Linked DNA regions of Saccharomyces cerevisiae S288C. Changing the gene in region 4 together with the main gene of any one other region gives a genetic interaction. Each region holds a gene or a part of one and is shown on either strand. Other genes may lie near its edges. The genes, in order: MDL1, HFM1, PEX18 and SPO22.

Region 1 (4,947 bases), on a different chromosome or scaffold from region 4:
CAAGTCGATGCTGCCGTTCACCATGGTGGTTCTGGAACTACTGGAGCTTCATTACGTGCTGGTTTACCTACTGTTATAAAACCTTTCTTTGGTGATCAGTTCTTTTATGCAGGTAGAGTAGAAGACATTGGAGTTGGTATTGCTTTAAAGAAACTTAACGCTCAAACATTAGCAGATGCTTTAAAAGTAGCTACGACGAACAAAATAATGAAGGATAGAGCTGGATTAATAAAGAAGAAAATTTCCAAAGAAGATGGGATTAAAACTGCAATAAGTGCAATTTACAACGAACTTGAGTATGCAAGAAGCGTTACTTTATCAAGAGTGAAAACTCCGCGCAAGAAAGAGGAAAATGTAGATGCAACCAAACTGACACCTGCTGAAACAACGGATGAAGGGTGGACGATGATTTAAACCGAGTATCACTCTCACTTTTATAAAAAAGCGTAACATCTAATCATTAATAGTAATAAATAATTAATTTTTTTTTTGTAAGTTTCAGTCATATTTGTACTCAGGAAAGATATGAAAACGATAATGTTGATAATAAGAATAATAGTAACAATAATAAAAAAGTAAAAAAATAAAGCTTAATTTGAGTTTCCTAAACGTACCGTATGTTGTGCATCTAATATTAATTTAATGTGTATAAAGGCGTACAAGGAGCTTTAAAAAAAAACTGTTTGTGTAAATTACATTGGGCATCATTTAAATTATAGAATACACAATTTCATATTCAGCAAACATAATGCGATAATTAATTGTCTTCCAACACATACCATAACTGTGGCATAGAAAAGTGATTCCATACTGCGGCAACTTCTTATACTTCCCGGGCAACACTATTGTCCAAATCTATCACTCCCCCTTTTCCTTCCTCGTCCTGCTGTTCGGCAAGCAGCGCATTTAGTTCACTATTAGGAATGGCGATTAGATCTCGGAATGAACCGGTTTCAACCACTGAGCCATGTTTTCCTAACACAATCACCCTAGTACTGTGTTTGATCGTCGAAAGCCTATGTGCAATTGATATAGTAGTGAACCCCCTTTCCACACGTCTCTGAAGATTTTTGGCAACTATTTCTTCACTTTGAGAGTCAAGGGCACTGGTTGCTTCATCTAAAATAAGGACGGCAGGATCTAGTAAAAACGCTCTAGCTAATGCAATTCTTTGCTTTTGACCACCGGACAATTGCGCGCCTCTAGCACCAACCATAGTCTGCAATCCATCTGGAAAATTGGCCAAAAATTTTGTGCAATTAGCTTTTCCAATAGCACGTCTAATACGATCATCCTGCTCCGCAATTTCAGGCGGAATGCAGTAGAGGATATTGTCCAGAATAGTCCCATTGAAAAGTAGTGGTTCTTGTTGCACGTATCCTATTAGTCTTCGATACTTCCTCAAGTTGAAATTTCTGATGTCTTCATCACCAAATTCGATCGATCCTGAGTTCACATCGTAGTACCTGAGCAACAAAGACGCAATTGTTGATTTGCCGCTTCCTGATGGACCGACAGCGCAAACGTGTTCACCAGGCTTGATAGTAATATTCAAATCCTTGAAAATCTGGTGTTTGGGCCGAGTGGGATAAGTGAATGACACGTTTTTGAAAACGATGGGTTTTTGGGCTAATGACACAGGATCCTTTCCAATAGTCGGACGAATCAATGGCTTACGGTCATTTAATTCAAAAACCCTGGCAGCCGCACCAGCACCTTTCATAAGTTCTGAATAGAAGCTCGATAAACCAAATAATGAACTTCCGGTATACACGGCATACATCATGAAACTAGATAATTCACCGACAGTCATTGAACCACTTTGAATCATGCTTGTTCCAACCAATAATAACGACAGCATTGCAGTGTTGCCAACTAGCCCAGTACTTCCGAAGAATAAACCGGAAGTAACCGCTTCCTTCAGACCAATATGAAATACATTTCTAACCTCTTTTGCATAGCGGCGAACCTCGTTTTTTTCACCACCATATGCTTGAATTGTCCTAGTAGCATTTAATTGCTCTTCTGCCACTTTTGTTAACCCACCTACTGAGGTTTGTAACTGTCTTGATAGGTTTCGTATTTTCCTACCATATATCAGTGCCATAGCACCTAAAGGAGGGGCTAAAATCATCATTACGCAAGTCAATTTCCACGAGAGGAAGCTCATCATGCCAAAACCGACAAACCCTTGAATAATTGCCCTTGTTCCATCAGAGACGTTTTGTGTGACCGATTTGGCCACTATAGATGCATCAGATGATAATCTTGAGATCAAATCACCGACACGATTAGTATCTAAAAATGTGGCATCTTGATCTAATGCAGCTTTCATTGTTCTCGTTCTTAATCTTGCGACCAGTCTCTCACCGGTGACCTTTAAAATGATGATTCTGCTTGCATTAGCAACTGCTCCAATTATAAATACTGCTCCTAATGCTGTGAAAAATTGCTTCTTCGTAAAACCATATAACTTATTGCTTTTTGAGCCCTCTTCATCTTCGCCGTCACTTTCGGAAGCCAAGTCTAATAATTTACCGATAACGGAAGGTACAGCCATACTAACTGAACTTGAAATGAGGATTAAAAGGAGGGCAAGACCAATGTACTTGGATTCCGGTTTAGATAAGACGAATAGCCGTTTAATGTCTTTAAACCCCGAGGATTTTGAATTTGCATTGGACAACTTTAAAGTGGGCTTGGTGGACTTCTTTCCTTGCGCAATGTCTGATTGTAATCGAATCGACCGCAACAAAAAGTGCTTTCTATGTGGAATAATCAAATTAATTTCCGCTTTTTGGTACATGGGAGGTTTGAACAATGACTTGGTTGAATATAGTGCACTTGCTGATGCGAATTGACTTCGCAACAACTTTGGACCTTTACAAAGACGTATCATTCTTACAATCATTGGAGCCCTTCCTCTTCTTTAACTTAGTAAAATTTCAATGATCTGCTTCTCATGTAAGTACCCACGTCTGCTTAGTTGAATCTAGTTGCATGTTGGGCAATACTGAATACGTAACATATATACAAAGCATTTGTGATTCTGAAGTCTCGGCTCGATGCGCCTAAACGAAACGCGACGCCAGTAATATAATACCTGTTAATGAAGATTTGTTTAGCTTAAAAGCAAAGGTAAAGAGATAAATAAGGGTATAGAGGTATATTATAGTCGTATTAAAAAAATAATACATTTATGGGAAGTTATATAAAACTACTGAATTGTAAAAAAAAAAAAAAGAAAAGATGAAATATAAATGAATCAGCTGGAATATGGGTTGGTTGATGTGCTATTGGGAGGCATAAATTGAGAAAATCCACTTTGTGCAGTAAGCGGATTTGTGCGGTTAGTGGTATTTATATGGAGGCTGGGACGGCCATCTGGTACATGGTGCTGTGTTTGCGGTATTGGAGATCTATCATTTATTGGTAACTTATTATTCAAATATCTCATATTTTGAGGCTGTTGTTGCAGTTGCGGCGATGGATGGAATGTATTTTGATTGTTACCACTTCCATAGGTATTGTTTCTGAAGGAAAGTGATTGGTTTTGGCGCTGTTGCGACGAATGAAACCGATGTTGCGAAGATTGGAAAGAATACATTGATGAGTTTCCACCTTGTTGCATAGGCTGGACGGTCAGCGGACCCGTTCTTATCTTACCTAACGGGCGACCAACCGGGTATGGTGCTTGAGGCTGCGAGCTATTGGCTGAAGAATTTCTGTAACCAAATGACGAAGTTTGTGGTCCTTTCACATGAAGTGGTTGAGATTGTTGAGGTTTGTTTATTTGATCACCAGAGAAATCTTCCCTATCCTGATAGTTTCCTCCATTCGAAGTAAGCTGGTTTAAGTTTGTAAATAAAGAAGAATGTGGGATCTTGTCATTTCTGTCACTGGCAGAAAGGGTTTCAGTTACTGTTCGGTTGGTTTGCCCATTGCTATAATTACTGGATGCTGCATCCTGATTATCTGAAAAGTCAAACTCATCCGTAGTGTACCTACTTTCTGTTTCCAACATTTGGTTTTGTTCCATATAATCTGGATCAAATACGTTTTCCTCCCCAAAATCCGGCACACGTTGTTCTTCATTGAGATTGACCGATGAACTGTTATTGATATTCAAGTTCAGGTCCGTAACAAAAGAACTGTTTTCTGCTGTGTCACTTAAAGCTTCTGAAGAAATATTTGCCATTCCCATATTGCTAATCTTTTGAGATAACTCTTCAAACTCTTTCAAAGATCCCAGGTCCTCATTTTTTGAACGTCTACTATCTTCTACCCTCAAAGGCGAAGAAAGGGAAGTATTTATCGTACTTTTCGACTCTCTGACGTTACCTATTTCAAATGTCTTGCTTTCAGCGGATGTACCTACGTATCTCTCATAGGGGCTTCTGTTTTCATTTTTTGACCGATCTTTAACTTCCAATTTTTGAGGTTTAGGGCTTGAATTAGCCTCCGATTTACCAAACGGAGATGTGGAATATTTGTCGTAAAGGGCGGATAATTCGGCTGCATTGGCGAGGTGAATATGTTTGTCTTCTGGTGTCGTAGAGAATTCGTTAGCAGATTTCGCTTCAACGTCTTCCATATTTTCCAAATTTGAATCAGTGATTTTGAGTTTTAATCCTGAACCAAAGCTTCTCTCTGAATTTTCATGGTTGAGCATTCCTGATGTCATTGGGGTGGTAAAAGTATCTTTGAAGTTAGTAGTGACACTGGACTGCGCCGACACAGAGTCATTGATTTTTGAAGAATTATCAGTCACAAATAATTCAGTTTGTTTTACTGAGGTAGCATGTGAGTTTACGGAAGCAGAAGCGGAATTAATATCATCGGTCGATGCTAATGTAGGAGACTTCATCTTAGATTTTTGCGGACTTTCCATTTGTCTTTCAGGGAGAGAATCGTACCCTTCAAATAATTCAGCTGAACTAATTGCCG
Region 2 (6,680 bases), on a different chromosome or scaffold from region 4:
GCTCAAAAATTTGGGGCTTCCATTCTGACAAAGGTTTATCAGAAAATCCAACGCAGAAGTTCAACTTTTCCTCCGTTAGTGTGCTGCATTGCACTTCCAGTACAGAGGACATTTGTCTTAAACTCGGATATGGTACCTTTTTCCTGTATTGACTTCTTCTGAGAAGTGGGATGTTGAACCACTCTAACCTCGTGTTATCGTCTGCCAAACCGTGTTCCGTCATTTTTTGGTGAAGAGGAGCATTTAATTGAACTGAAAGACTTTTCATCCAGCTAAAAAATAACATGTCCTGTTTCCCGACTTTTAACTTTTCCTTGAATAACTCATACTGTAGTTCTTCTTTGTTGTCATTCTCAATGTTAGTCACATTCCATGTTTTGCCAACGGCTACATCTATTTTTTGTCTTCCAGAGGTGATGTGAATTACCTCCAAAAAATACTCTTCACCATTGATCGTGCCGCAGTTTTCATACCCTCCGATTTTCAGTGGTTTAAGTTGCAAATTTCTTAGCTCTTTCAAATATTTTTGTGCTCGTCTTCCCAGTTTGATGTTTTCTTTTAAGTTTCCTGACAGAACAGAATAGCCGCCCACATTTTGGTTACATTTAGATAACTTTACTTCCCAACGTTCAATAATCATAGTATTTTTGTAATATGATCTATTTCTCTAAATTGATTCAATTACTCGAGCTCGTTAACAATGGTGTGGCACTATTGAGTGATTTTCTTCTCCTGAAACATATTTTATGCTTGTATTTTACATATCCTAACAGAAAATACTTTCAGCAATTCTTCCGAAAGTAAAACTTGAAAAAAATTGAAGAAAATGACGAAAAAACAATACAAAACAATAATACAATTCGCTACAAAAAAGGGGGAAGGGCTATCAGAAATCGAATATGGACCTTTGCATCATCCAAAATTAATGAATACTTAACTGCTGACTATACAAACGAAAAAGAAGGCGACCTTAAATATTACACAGAGCCAATAATTTATTCGCGGGAGAAGATTCTCAAAAGGAATCCGTGACTGGGAAATCAGAAACTCACCGTTGGACATCAGGATTTCCCACGATCAGTGCTGATTAAACATGGCTACTTTAGTCTTCAGAATCCTCACCTACGTCATCATCTATGTCCATTACAATGACTTCTGAAGTATTCTGGTGTGTATATTGGTCATTGTCATCCACAATTAAGGGATGCGTTTCATCGTTAGAAAATGGCTTTATGTTTTTCAACGTAGCTGAGCTTTCAGTTAATTCAACCAAGGCGTTGTACCGAGAGACAAATCTTGGCCTTGTACTTAATTCAATAGCCAAGTGCGTCGGTATATCAGTTTCAAAATTAGACTCCGATCTTTCCTTCAGGATTTTAAATATAGTATAAACATCGCTGAATGAAATATGGTTGTTGTAGACATTATCTTCGAACAAGGTCAAATCGAGGCTTTTCAGTTGTAAAACCAACTCCTTCGTAGCAAAAGCCAACCTGCCAAAACGATTTCCCATAAATTTACGAATGGATTCCATGAATTCCCCCATGGGTCGCTGATAAAGAGCAGCGTTTTCACATATTATGGGGTTGTTACTTTCGTTCTTATCATCCGACGTGAACAACAGAAATGTAGTATCTTTATATTCCACGGTGACTTTGGGCAATTCGCTTTTCATTAAAGTCTCTGCCACGTTGCGTATACGGGCGTCCGATGGTTGTTCCTCCACGAGTTCATCATCATACTCCAAAAGGTCTTCTTCATCGCCCTCATCCAATTGAACCCCGACGTCATCCACCTCCACTGTTTTATGCGCTTCTTCTTCACTCATCTTTGATTCCATTGATACCAACAAAAACAATCTTTAACTACGTATCTTTTCCTTTACGTATATATAATTAATCATATATACTTCCCTTTTTTATGCCTTGTTGTAGTTTTAACATATCATGTACCACGAATGGATGCAGGCTCGGCGGGTATTTAGACTTTGCCCCGGATTATAAACAAAACGGGACTATTAGTATCATCTATCAAGAAATCCTTTCATTGAAAATGATTGATACCTCAAGGTGGATTTGACAACTTAAGAGGCGTCGTAAGGATGAAAACAAAGTTTGATCGCCTCGGTACAGGAAAAAGAAGTAGACCCTCTCCAAATAGTAGTAACGAAGCTTAGCAACACCCTTATCAGTTTACACCATATCGGACAACAACAGTATTTTGACTAACATTGTTACCTCTTTCTTTTATTATCTAGCGGAAATGCAACCAAAAGTGGTTTTTCTGGACTAGAATTTCAGAGGACTTATAGATATTGACTTTAACGACCAGTCTGCTACATTTAAAAGAAATAAGAAAAATAGCCGCCAACCAAGTTTTAAAGTAGGTTTGTCTTATAACAGTTTACTGGATGATTGTGATGATGAAAATGAAACAGAGGAAATATTTGAGGGCCGTGGTCTGCAATTCTTCGACAAAGACGATAATTTTTCAATAACAGCAGATGATACACAAGTAACTAGTAAATTATTTGATCACGATTTAGAGCAGACACCTGATGAAGAGGCGAAGAAACCTAAGAAGGTCACGATAAGGAAATCAGCGAAGAAATGTTTGAGCACGACCATATTACCAGATTCATTCAGAGGGGTTTTTAAATTTACAGAATTTAATAAAATGCAATCAGAGGCTTTTCCTAGTATTTATGAGAGTAACGAGAACTGCATAATTTCTTCACCAACCGGATCAGGCAAGACTGTATTATTTGAATTGGCAATATTACGTCTTATAAAGGAAACAAATAGTGATACCAATAACACCAAAATTATATACATCGCGCCAACCAAATCTCTATGTTACGAGATGTACAAGAACTGGTTTCCTTCCTTTGTGAATCTTTCTGTTGGTATGCTTACTAGTGATACCTCTTTTCTGGAAACTGAAAAGGCTAAAAAATGTAACATAATAATTACGACACCAGAAAAATGGGATTTGTTAACAAGAAGATGGTCCGATTACAGCCGATTATTCGAATTGGTCAAACTTGTCCTAGTTGATGAGATTCATACCATAAAGGAGAAAAGAGGAGCATCTTTGGAAGTAATTCTGACAAGGATGAATACAATGTGTCAAAACATTCGGTTTGTTGCTTTAAGTGCAACAGTTCCAAATATAGAAGACCTAGCATTGTGGCTCAAAACTAACAACGAGCTTCCTGCAAATATTCTTTCTTTTGACGAATCGTACAGGCAAGTTCAGTTAACGAAGTTTGTTTATGGGTACTCCTTCAATTGCAAAAATGACTTCCAAAAAGATGCTATATATAATTCCAAATTGATTGAAATAATTGAAAAGCATGCCGATAATCGTCCCGTACTAATATTTTGTCCGACTAGGGCTTCAACTATATCAACAGCAAAATTTTTATTAAATAATCATATTTTTTCAAAAAGTAAGAAAAGATGTAATCATAATCCCTCCGATAAAATATTAAATGAATGTATGCAACAAGGTATCGCTTTCCATCATGCTGGAATTTCTTTAGAAGACCGTACTGCCGTTGAGAAAGAATTTCTTGCAGGTTCAATTAATATATTGTGTTCAACTTCAACGTTAGCTGTTGGTGTGAACCTTCCCGCATATTTGGTCATTATCAAAGGCACCAAAAGTTGGAACTCTTCTGAAATCCAAGAGTATTCAGACCTAGATGTACTGCAAATGATTGGGCGGGCAGGAAGACCTCAATTTGAAACTCACGGGTGCGCAGTAATCATGACAGACTCTAAAATGAAGCAAACATATGAAAACTTAATTCATGGAACTGACGTTTTGGAAAGTTCATTACATTTGAATTTGATCGAGCATTTAGCAGCAGAAACCTCTTTGGAAACTGTATATTCAATTGAAACTGCAGTAAATTGGCTACGAAACACATTCTTTTACGTTAGATTTGGGAAGAATCCAGCTGCATATCAAGAGGTGAACAGATACGTTAGTTTTCATTCCGTTGAAGACTCTCAGATAAATCAATTCTGTCAGTATTTGCTTGACACCTTAGTAAAAGTGAAAATAATCGATATCAGCAATGGGGAGTACAAATCTACAGCGTACGGAAATGCAATGACGCGACATTATATATCCTTTGAGTCGATGAAACAATTCATTAACGCAAAAAAATTTCTATCATTACAAGGGATACTAAATTTACTGGCCACTTCTGAAGAGTTTTCAGTTATGAGGGTGAGGCACAATGAAAAAAAATTGTTCAAAGAAATCAATTTATCGCCACTTTTGAAATATCCATTTTTAACCGAGAAGAAACAGAGCCAAATAATTGACAGGGTTAGTCAAAAGGTTTCTCTTTTGATTCAATATGAGTTAGGTGGGTTAGAATTTCCATCATACGAAGGCGCTTCTAAACTACATCAAACTCTTGTTCAGGATAAATTCCTCGTTTTTAGACATTGTTTTAGATTACTAAAATGCATGGTAGACACATTTATTGAAAAAAGTGATGGAACATCACTGAAAAATACTTTGTTCTTACTGCGAAGCCTGAATGGTCACTGCTGGGAAAACACGCCAATGGTTCTTAGGCAATTGAAAACAATTGGACTAGTTTCAGTAAGAAGGCTAATACGACATGGAATTACCAATCTAGAAGAAATGGGGCATTTGTCAGATACTCAGATTGAATACTATCTTAACCTCAAGATTGGAAACGGCATAAAAATTAAAAACGACATTTCTTTGTTGCCTTGTCTGAATATTAGAACAAAACTAGAAAATTGCAAAATAGAAAATGAAGAGTTGTGGTTGACATTTAAAGTTGAGATTAGTGCAACATTCAAGTCTAGCATTTGGCATGGTCAGCACCTCTCATTAGATATCGAAACCGAGAAAAGCTCAGGAGAGTTAATCGACTTTAGAAGATTGCAAGTTAACAAACTACAGTCACCAAGGGGCTTTAGAATTTCAGCAAAAATATCACCAAAACTAGAAAAAATAGAATTCTCAATTCATTGCCAAGAAATCGCCGGACTCGGCAAAACAATCGTATATTCCACTGATCATTTGGCATCACAGTTCTCTGCGAAGACACCAAATATAAGGAAAGATCTAAATAGTTTAGAAAAATGCCTCTTCTATGAAAGCAGTAGTGACGGAGAAGTGGGGAAAACGTCTAGGGTTTCCCATAAAGATGGATTAGAAGAATCGCTATCCTCAGATGATAGTATACTAGATTATTTGAATGAAAGGAAGAAATCATCAAAGGCGGTTGAATCTGCAGCAGTTATTCACCCGGAGGCACACTCTTCTTCACATTTTAGTAATGGCCGCCAAGTAAGATCTAATGGCAATTACGAGTGTTTTCATAGCTGCAAAGACAAAACGCAATGCAGACATTTATGTTGTAAAGAGGGTATTCCAGTAAAGTATATAAAAGAAAAAGGACCCTCCTCAATCAAGCCAGTATCAAAACCTGATCAAATACGCCAGCCACTGCTTGCAAAAAATATCAACACAACCCCTCACCTGGAAAAAAGACTGAATAGTAAACCAAAGCAGTGGCAAGAAGAAAATACAGATATTGCGACAGTTCATACACTTCCTTCAAAAATTTATAATCTATCGCAACAGATGTCGTCTATGGAAGCGGGTGAACAAGTCCTAAAATCAGGCCCCGAAAACTGCCCTGAAATAATTCCTATTGATCTTGAATCATCCGATAGTTATTCTAGTAATACAGCGGCGAGCTCAATAAGTGATCCGAATGGTGATCTGGATTTCTTGGGTTCCGATATAGAGTTTGAATGAGCGGCATGGCCGGGAACAATAGACATTACTGATATTCATTACCCCAATCCTTTCTGTTATTTGTATTGCTTCCCAACAGAAGTTAGCATGTGTGAGAGTTTACTTATAATGCTTTGTTTTTAAAATGCAGCCAGTGGTGAAACAATTGGAACCTTTACTATTTATTAGGGAACAAGATGACATTGTCAATTGATATATTACTATTGTTACATATCGTGCTATTTATCATTTCAATTATTAGTCACATGACCGCGATAAGCGATCCGGGTCAGAATGCCGAGATAGGATAACTTTGCCGGCGGAGTTCCTAGATCAATTGAAAGAATCGAAGTGAGATTAGTAATTCATTCATATGTACCTTTTAAAAAAGAAACTCACTCTTGGAAGTGTCCTTTACTAAGGATTGTTTTGAACGAAAAGTGTAGGCGTGCCACAAATGTCAACACTTAGCGATAGTGATACCGAGACTGAGGTCGTGTCGAGAAACTTGTGTGGAATCGTCGACATAGGTTCTAATGGTATTCGTTTTAGTATATCTTCCAAGGCTGCACATCATGCAAGAATTATGCCTTGTGTTTTTAAAGATAGGGTTGGTCTTTCTCTATACGAAGTTCAATATAATACACATACGAACGCAAAATGCCCTATTCCCAGAGATATTATAAAAGAGGTTTGTTCTGCCATGAAGAGATTCAAATTAATTTGCGATGATTTTGGTGTACCTGAAACTAGTGTCAGAGTAATTGCAACAGAAGCCACGCGAGATGCTATTAACGCGGATGAATTTGTTAATGCTGTTTACGGTAGCACTGGCTGGAAAGTAGAAATATTAGGCCAGGAAGATGAAACTAGGGTCGGCATAT
Region 3 (3,771 bases), on a different chromosome or scaffold from region 4:
GAGTAAACATTTGGATCCCTCTCTAAATACACCTGTTAAAAACCGGGCTTTTTCACCGGTTTACCAGAATATACCTTTGGAATCACGAACTGAAAATGCTGGTAACAGCAGCCTTCCTAGTTCTGTCAGTAAACCAAAGAACATGGGTCATCAAAGTACTAATCAGTCAAGATCTGTGTCTCCGCAAGATATTCAAGAAAGGCGCCAAAGGGACGACTCGTCAGATTCATCCAAACAGTCACTTTGGAGCAAACCATTAGCTCTGTTTAATCAGTTTGATAAAATCATTCAGCATGAAATTGAAAGAACTCTGAATTGGGATGACTCTCTTTCAGGTACGCCTGAGGTACAGGAAGGGACACCGACTAGTAATAGCGAGTCGTCCGCGCAACAGTACGATAATGAAGCACCTGGAGCTCGCCAAAAATCTCCTTCGCAAGGATCAGTCTCCAGGTCGCTTTGGAGCTTTGTTAGCGATGTCAAGGCCGGATTACTCGGTATAGAAGAAGAAAACGATAATGATGTTATTACTGATAACAGATGTGATCCTGTATATAAAAGCGATAGACAGCATGAACAGAAAAAAAGTACACATAAAATTACGAACCGGGGGCAAGCAGAAGATAGTGGCGACGATTCTAGTTTAAACATGAGGAAATTTAAAACGACAACTAAGTTCCAGAAAGACAATGCTGGGAATAATAGTCTCACAGATGAAAGTGGACATCGAACACGAGAAAAAAAAAGTAAAAGAAGTAGTAACAAGCTAAGTTTTATTGGAGAACCCGATAATGATAATTCCTCCGTCAAAAACTCAGTTGAAATGACAGACTTCTAATTCCTTTTTCAAAATGACGTTTATTCTTCACTTGTCACTCTTTTTACGTATAGCTGTGAACGCAGTATGTAATTTAATACTGTTTTCTCTTGAAAGTGGTTAAAAAGTGTTATATATCTGAAATTCATGGTTTAAATTAAAGAAATTTCAAGGCCCGTTAAGCAATTCTGTCTTCAACATCATGGAACTCAAGACCAGCCCAGTTTCCTGAATTCTGAAAACAAAAACCTACGTGTTTTTGAAGGTTTCTTTCTGTACCGTTATCCTTCTTTAAAACTATAGAACCATCACTAATGCTGCCCATCAGCCCCATAAACTTTGAACTGTTTAGTCTTTCTTTTACATCTTTATTGGCACTATTATTATCGCAAAACTCAATTATATCGGAAGCCAAACCTTTCATGGCAGTTTCTTCATCTTCCAGACTCGTACCTGAATTTTCCTCTTCTGTATGGACATCTTCTTCCAAACTACTGGCTTCCAGTTCCGAAAATTCAGCATTAATTAAAGAATCAATGTGGCTGTTGATAGGATGTTCTAAACCTGTTGTCTTGAATATCTGATGGTCAACCACAGGGAAGGAAGCAATGTTAAAGTTTTTCTGTGAATAAAAGCCTAAGGGAAAATCTGTCTGAGATGTCCGTAGCCCGTTGTTTATATTAAGATTCGCGATTTGATTTTCGATGGGCGGTTCAACATTCTTAGGGAAGTTATATCTAAAATCCTTGGCCCAAGAAGTTTCATTGTCATTTAGATTTGGCGCTTCAAATTTGTAACTTTGATCCTCTAAGGTTCTAGGACGAATATTTACGTAGGACCGTGATTGATTCAAATCTTCTGAGTGTTGTAGAAATTTCAGCTCAATTTTATCCTTCAGAATCGGTGGTGAATTCAGTCTGCTCCCGATTTTGTTAAAAGAGAGCGTATTGTCCCTGCCCGTAAAAGGCCCCTTTTCTGTACTACTAATAAATTTATTCACCTCATTCGTTTGGCATCGGTTACTATTCATTGTTTGTATTTTATATCATTTGTCCATTGAAGTTTAGACAAGTATCAAATACCCAGTTTTCGTCTTTTCCCTTATATAGGTCGTCTCGGAAATAACAATATAAACTCCATGGTGCGGCGCTATCGAAATCTTTTGTTGGCGGGAGGAATTGAAGACAGTAAGATGTAAGTATTACATACTATAGGACAAATGCAAAATATGTACAAAATGGCAAAAATTACATAGCTCTTCCTTACAACTATATATAGCTATCCAAAGATGCACTTGAGTACTCCCTTACATACCTGATTATACTAGATATTACATATCAATTAAATTGAGGTTGTTAGCATATTGGTTTCCTAAAACTGGTTGCTGTGTTTGAGACTGTTCCGGTTGTGGTTGCTGTTGTGGATAGAAAGGGAAATTTTGAGGTTGAACTGTCCCAGTTATATTTGTAACAGGGTTGGCTCCTGCAGTTGCAGGCACATAATAACCCTGTTGTGGTTGCTGTTGTTGCTGTTGCTGTTGTTGCTGTTGCTGTTGTTGCTGTTGTTGGAGATGATTCTGAGTGTAGTGAGCCTGAAATTCCATTTTATCAAAACGCTGAGGAATATTCATCGATCCCTGCATGCTAGTAGGGGTTGTCATAACGCTATTGATCGAGCTCAAAGGCATTTTTTGTTGTTGAAATTGTTGTTGATTGTACGTTTGGTTTTGAAAAGGGTTACTTATTATCTGTTGTTGTAGCGGCATATTGGTATTTTGTTCATCAAAGTTTGGTCGTGAAAATGGGTTATTTAAGACATTTTCGTGTGCAGGATTCCCTGTTGCGATCGTCGCGGCGTTGTGCAATGCGAACGGGTTGTTAGAACCAGTTTGTGAATGAGAGACTTGTTGATTAGAAGCGGCAGTTGTATCCTGTGAAACGGAGTATCCTCCAAACCCTGCACCTGTAAATGTGGGTGTTAAATGGTTGTTAATCGAATAGTACCCCGTTTGTTGGGCACTTACGCCAGCATCTTGTACAGGGTTGAAGTTCACTGTGTGTTGGACCGCTGCATATTCAGGAACGTTTAAATTTGCGGGCTCTGTATGAGCGGTTGGTGTATTCATCACCTGTGGCTGAGTTTGAGATACAAATGGGTTATTTGCGATCTGTTGCGTTTGATTAGCCACAGCCATTGGAATGTTAGTATGCATAGAAGAGTCTGTTCCAAACGGGTTGTAAGATTGAGCCGCCGTGACAGTAGTTAGAGCAGGGGAAATCGCTACTTGTTCGTTTTTCAATTGTGCCTCTAGTATCCTTTTTTGTTCCCGGATTTGCTCCAACCTTTCCTGTGCAGTAGATTTGGCTACTACGGCCCCAGCACTTCCTTGAGAACTGTCAACGGGCACAAAAGTGTTGTGCGTCTTATCATCCTCTATCAGATGTTCTTCTAGCGATCTGACCAGTTTGGTAGTGATATGCTTGATGACGGGTATTTTCAAGCCCGCAGTCTTCCCGCTCTTCAAGTACCTGACAACGTGCTCGGTCAAATCAACAAACGTCTTGTACAGGTCTAGAGTTCTCTCTGCATTATGATGAGATAGTTCGAAAAAAGACTCCAGCAGAGTTATGATACCTTCGTTGAGAGCATTATATAGCGCTAGCAGGTCTTGAATAAGCAGCTTGAAACCAAATATGATCAATTCGTTACTCAAATCATATTGTGTATACTTGTTTTTAATCAGGGCTTGTATTTGTACCTCTAGGGACTCCACATGATCTAGTGCTATATTGATAGAGTGTTGCTTGTTTCTGGAGCTTCCGTAATTGCCACTGTTCAGCTTCAGTGTTCGATAGCCGTCTCTCACATAGTCCTTTTTGATTTTACCAAACTCCCTGCATCTCACCTTCAGATAATTATCGTATCTATCAAGTGCCCTCATGTCTCCAGACGCA
Region 4 (5,961 bases):
GTCTGGCAGTACCTAAGGCCATAATTGTCACGATATCATAGTATAGCACATGCAGGCCCATAGCTTCTGCAAGAACTGATAATTGCGAACCAATGTGACCATACCCAATAATACCGAGAGTTTTTCCTCTTACTTCCCAACACCTAGCAGCGACTTTATTCCATGTACCTGTATGCAGTTCAATGGATCTATCACCTAATTGTCTTGCTAAACTAATGATCTCACCAATTACCAATTCTGCTACGGATCTTGAATTGGAGAATGGCGAATTGAAAACAGCAATACCTTTACTAGCGGCATATTTTAGGTCTACTTGATTGGTACCTATGCAAAAACAACCAATACAAACTAGATTCCTGGCATGCTGTAGTATTTTTTCAGTCAATCTAGTTTTGGATCTTATACCGATAGCGTGTACGTCTTTGATTTTTTCAATCAATTCATCCTCAGGTAGAGAAGACTTGTGGAACTCTACTTGGTAACCCTGATCCTTGAAGATTTTGATTGCAGTTGCATTGACATTTTCCAACAGTAGAATATTCATGTCACCAGTAGAAAAAGGTTTTAAAGCCTTTGGTTGCTTTGTAATGCTTACACGACGAGGTAGTGTGTTCATAAATGACTGAGTTGGTGAGGTTGAGACTGCACCAGGAGAGCCAGAAAAGTTCATGGCACGTTGGAATGAATCTTGTAAATTATCGGCAGCTGAATAAGACATGTTAGGGAGGAAATACCCGAAATCAGTGTTTGTTACTTTTTAATGTTACAATAATCTACAGCTAAAACAGACAAAGTATTTTTTAATGTAGTAGCTCGTAACCTTCTTATGTATTAAACCTGGGAGATTCCATTAGTTTTCATAACGGTGACTCGTTTCCAGCGTGAAGAATCTAGCCCACAATTAATCTGAGCGCTGTCCGGCTGACGGCCAAATTCTTCGGTGTAAAGAAAAAAATGTGGCATTTTGTGTATATTTGGCAAGAACAAGAGTGTAATATTATTGATAGTGCACGTGACATTATGAAAAACAATAGCACTTATTAACTATGCTAAAAATTTTGTAGCTACCGATTCTATCACGCTTCCTGGTACGGGTGCAGGCAAAGATTGCTAGGGAATTAAGGGTCAGCCAGTATAAACGACAGTAAATGGAATAAAAAAGGTTTATTTAGCAATACTATTGATATCGATATTTGCCGAACTTGCTAAAGACTCCCATAAAGAGTACAATTGCTCCTGCAAGCCTTCATTAACCATGTTTGCGAACCCCATTGAATGTTTACACCAAACAATTCCATTGCTTTTGTTGTCTTTGATTATGTAATTGACGCCGATATTCCAACAGTAAGTGGCTATAGTTTCTAACTCTGTTTGAAGGACACCATCTGTGTCTTGAAGACTTGATTGATTTATATTTAGGATCTTAAGAACCCTATCCAATATGCGTAGTTCGACCTCATGGTTAAGATTAATTGCATTTTCCAGTAAAATTCGCAGCCAGCTACAGAGTTCCCGTTCTTTCACTTCAGGGCCCATGTTTCTTTTTAATACTGTTTCAAGTATCTCTATGAGAACTCCTTTAGGTAAATCTTCCATATTCGACGAGATATCAATAAGTAGCGCATCCACGCGGCTATCTTGATACAATTCCGTTTTCTTCAATATGTCCAGAATCCTAGTTTGATCAGGCATCATTAAGGCACTTTCCAGATGTATAGTCAACGCCTCCAGGAAACATTCATGTAATGTATTTCTATCTTCCAATGATGACCCATCCTTAAATTCCGAGCTTTTCTTCATAACATTTATGCTATTAACCAACTCTTCTGACTTCTCATAAATATCCCAATCCTTTTGGTGTTGGTCTTGCTTTGCTTTTTCTTTGGCTATTATCAACTGCAAGATTGTGGCTTTGAACCTCCAATATGTGAAATGATACATTTTCGGGAAAGTGAAGTCTTGGACCGGAATAAGGTCAATAAATTGAATGCAATACTGGGGAAACTCGGAGATGGATTCACAGGACTGATCAACTAAGCATTTTACAGCCACATTATAGGAAAAAGAGGCAAACCACTCGATTTCGTTTACAGCCACTGATTGCTGATATATTGCTTCCTTCTCAACGTCTGGTGGTAATTGATTTAGTAACTTTACAGTTTTGAGAAACTCGACAGCCTTCTGTAAAAGTTTCTGTACTGTTGGTAAATAATTTATGAAGGTTTCTAAAGGCTCCTCTTCCGATACTTTGACAATCATCTGTAGGGTATACCTGAGAATGCTCAGTGTCTGAGAACTCGACGTAGATGATATAGTTTGCGAATTGCTTTTAGATTGTAATTTGTCAAATATCATTAAGAGCCCTTGAACAGACAAATCTGTCTTTCGTTTGCATTCTGCTACTGCTAATATAAGAGCGTCTGTACTTTTTTCATCTTCAGACGACTTTATCTTCTGGAGGCACGTAAGCGCTTCCTCTGTTTTATCATCCGCTAGAAAAGACTGCAACATCAAAAGTTGACACAGAGGAGATTGTCTATCTACTTCGTCCATATCCTGATATACTCTAACTGTGTTGGAATAGTCTTCAATTTTGTTATATACGACTTGTAGAGCCCTTTGAATTTTCCCCCGGTCGGAATAATTTTGACTGATAATATCTTTGAGTGCTAATTTGTAAAATCTAATACTAACAACGTATTTTTCCATCTTTTCTAACTTTTTTCCAGTATTCCATAATAAAGTTATTATGCAAGAGATAGCATGTTTGGTGAGGGGTTCTGAAACTATTCTTTCCATCTGTGTGCTAAAATTCTCTAAGCTTTCCGCTATCTCGGAATCATTCATTGTTTTTGATTGTGTTGTAATTAAAAACCTGGAGCAAATGGCTTTTCCTAAGAATTTACTATCATTCTTAGAATTCAGTTTATTGATTAACAAATAATCGAGACACACTATAGAGAATTTGGTGTTCATTTTTGATAAGTCATTGATAGAAGCTATGACAGCTTGAAAATTGGATATTACATCTACTGACATAATCATTCGCATGAGAATTTCCTCTATGGTTTCTGCCGGATTTACGATATTTCTCCGTTTAGTTAAATTGATAGCCAATATAAAAGGGTCCACTTTGTTTGGATATTCATTTTGCAAAAGACTTAAATAGTGATCACATTGTTCAAGTTCAGAAGCTTGTGGGTGTCCTTCAACCAAACAATTTGCCATAAAAATCAAAACTGAATACTTTAAATTACTATAATCAGTATGAGATTTTAAATTTTCCACAGGTAACTCCAAATATTTTTCCACATCCTTCAAAAAAGAAATTATATTTACGTCTACTAACTGAGTTTCAGGATTATTAATTTCTTTCAACATAACTGTGGAATTATAGATCATTCTGCATAATTCGATGAGCAAATCTGCGTCCATATATTTGGAATTATCAGTGATGTTTACTTTTGCAGTGTAAATATTTGCTGTATCCAGGTCATTTTCCGAAAGATATAATTGAAAATTTACCAAGTAAAACTCGAACGTCAGTTTTTTAAACTCAGTTTTCTCTTCATTGGAGAAACTTTCCACATTCTCATTGATTATCTGTAAGTATTTCTCTGAATGCTGCTGTGTATTAGTTATTAAATCGTCAAAACGATACTCACTAGCGCTTTTGAAAGAACTGATATAACATTTGAAGTTCCGTAGGAGGTTGGTGTTTGTCCGAAACAAAGCCTCATGGATGGAGAGAAGCTTGGTTGCGAAAATCTTACATTTGCAAAAGACTTCATTAAAATATTTGTCTGAAGCTTTTTCAGCTTTCATAGCAATAGTCAACGAATTCCATAGACTTGATGCTGCATTTTCCAATTTCAGGATAAGTTCTTCGTCTAATATAACTGTAGTGGTTCTGAATGATCTATCATATTTTTCTGCAATGGGATACAATGCGCTTATTTTATTATCTACTGTAATCAAATCGTTTTTCTCTAAATTCTTAGCCGCATAAACTTGCGATGTTATCCAAGTTGCAGTTTCTTTATATTATTAAAATAATAAAGCTGTTAGTTGCTATTGCTCGTCCAGATAAAAGTTAATAAGGGTATGTTTTGCATTTTGTTATATACCGCATAACTCGACCAAAGTTTTTCTAAAAGTGGAGTTAACGTTGTGGTCTGACATTGAAACTTGTTGATCACTTTAGAACATAGCCTTTTACTAATATTACTAGAAGTGTCATTATTCATGGAACACTCACTAAAAAGCTTCGCTCTTTTCTCTTTTTATTTATTTGCAATTAGCCGCCGAAGTTTGTATTCCGTACGAAAATGAAAATGAACCAGGTAACAAATCTGGTGAAATCACCATTAAACATATAAAAAACAGGATGAATTAGTGTGAAAATTATATAAAAGCCGCTGGTCCAAGAAGACGTGATTTACAAGACATATACAGGACCCAAAGAAATGGATTTCACTCATGATTATTTCCATTGAAAATCAGATGATTGGCCTTTCATTTTCTTCTTGAACCAACTGAATTTTGAATGATTGCCCCCCTCAATTTAAAGCGCCAGGTTATCAAAACTTTCAACACACGCTAGTCTGTTGAAAGTAAAGGGAAGATCTACGTGTGAAGTGATATATGTTTTTAACCTGGGCGGCTAAATTGTACTTTATATATAGTTGAAACAACAGAGAAAGGGCAGGATAAAGAAAGAAATTGACTGCAGTTTCCTATGATCATATTTCATTTTTGTAATTAACAATATAATATAATACACTTATAAACGGTTTAAAAACAGCTTTATCTCAGAAAAGTCAGGAATTATGTCTAATAAACAACTAGTAAAGCCAAAAACAGAGACAAAGACAGAAATAACTACTGAACAGTCTCAAAAACTGCTCCAAACAATGCTCACAATGTCTTTTGGTTGTTTAGCCTTTCTCAGGGGGTTGTTCCCTGATGATATATTTGTTGACCAACGGTTTGTACCGGAGAAAGTTGAAAAAAACTACAATAAGCAAAACACGTCTCAAAATAACTCTATCAAAATCAAGACATTAATTAGGGGCAAATCGGCTCAAGCAGATTTATTACTGGATTGGTTGGAGAAGGGAGTTTTCAAATCCATTCGTTTAAAGTGTTTAAAAGCCCTATCATTAGGTATATTTCTAGAGGATCCCACCGATCTCCTAGAAAATTACATTTTTAGTTTTGATTATGACGAAGAGAATAATGTCAATATTAATGTAAACTTGAGTGGCAATAAAAAAGGGAGCAAAAATGCCGACCCAGAGAACGAGACAATTTCTTTACTAGATTCGAGAAGGATGGTTCAACAGTTAATGAGACGATTTATCATAATTACCCAATCCCTGGAACCTTTACCCCAAAAAAAGTTCCTCACTATGAGGTTGATGTTTAATGATAACGTCGATGAAGATTATCAGCCGGAGTTGTTCAAAGACGCGACTTTTGACAAAAGAGCAACTTTAAAGGTCCCCACAAATTTAGACAACGATGCTATTGACGTCGGTACTCTGAACACGAAGCATCATAAAGTTGCTCTTTCTGTTTTGTCGGCGGCAACATCCAGTATGGAAAAAGCTGGGAACACGAACTTTATTAGAGTAGACCCCTTTGATTTAATTTTGCAACAACAAGAAGAAAATAAACTTGAAGAATCTGTTCCTACAAAACCCCAGAATTTTGTCACAAGCCAAACAACCAATGTGCTTGGAAATCTTTTAAATTCTTCGCAAGCAAGTATACAACCAACTCAATTTGTTTCAAATAACCCAGTCACGGGCATTTGTAGTTGCGAATGTGGATTGGAAGTTCCCAAAGCAGCCACCGTGTTAAAGACTTGTAAAAGTTGCCGTAAAACACTACACGGCATCTGTTATGGCAATTTTCTACATTCGTCAATTGAGAAATGCTTTACTTGCATTTTTGGAC

What was found.
Region 1: mutations in SPO22 (region 4) and MDL1 together harm fitness more than expected from each alone (negative genetic interaction), as found in Saccharomyces cerevisiae (2 studies listed by BioGRID).
Region 2: of SPO22 (region 4) and HFM1, changing one suppresses a phenotype caused by changing the other (phenotypic suppression), as found in Saccharomyces cerevisiae (one study listed by BioGRID).
Region 3: mutations in SPO22 (region 4) and PEX18 together harm fitness more than expected from each alone (negative genetic interaction), as found in Saccharomyces cerevisiae (2 studies listed by BioGRID).

What each region holds. Positions count from the first base shown.
Region 1 is NC_001144.5:526,264-531,210, reverse strand, and holds MDL1 (ATP-binding cassette permease MDL1), read right to left. Parts: upstream 2,912-4,947; coding exon 824-2,911; downstream 1-823. Other genes in the region: ATG26 (sterol 3-beta-glucosyltransferase), read left to right, coding at 1-414; SKG3 (Skg3p), read right to left, coding at 3,266-4,947. UniProt on the Saccharomyces cerevisiae protein: Mediates export of peptides with molecular masses of 2100 to 600 daltons generated upon proteolysis of mitochondrial inner membrane proteins.
Region 2 is NC_001139.9:27,058-33,737, reverse strand, and holds HFM1 (DNA helicase), read left to right. Parts: upstream 1-2,101; coding exon 2,102-2,159; intron 2,160-2,311; coding exon 2,312-5,817; downstream 5,818-6,680. Other genes in the region: ZIP2 (Zip2p), read right to left, coding at 1-640; RMR1 (Rmr1p), read right to left, coding at 1,103-1,828; RTG2 (Rtg2p), read left to right, coding at 6,254-6,680. UniProt on the Saccharomyces cerevisiae protein: DNA-dependent ATPase and 3'-5' DNA helicase. Required in the control of double strand break transition and crossover during meiosis. ATPase is slightly better stimulated by single-stranded (ss) than double-stranded (ds)DNA.
Region 3 is NC_001140.6:418,226-421,996, forward strand, and holds PEX18 (Pex18p), read right to left. Parts: upstream 1,848-3,771; coding exon 996-1,847; downstream 1-995. Other genes in the region: TDA11 (Tda11p), read left to right, coding at 1-838; YAP1801 (Yap1801p), read right to left, coding at 2,148-3,771. UniProt on the Saccharomyces cerevisiae protein: Involved in peroxisome biogenesis and the import of peroxisomal matrix proteins that contain the peroxisomal targeting sequence PTS2. Required for peroxisomal targeting of PEX7 and growth on oleate.
Region 4 is NC_001141.2:221,773-227,733, forward strand, and holds SPO22 (Spo22p), read right to left. Parts: upstream 4,183-5,961; coding exon 4,128-4,182; intron 4,038-4,127; coding exon 1,165-4,037; downstream 1-1,164. Other genes in the region: phosphoglycerate dehydrogenase SER33, read right to left, coding at 1-718; HOP1 (Hop1p), read left to right, coding at 4,830-5,961. UniProt on the Saccharomyces cerevisiae protein: Involved in chromosome segregation during sporulation.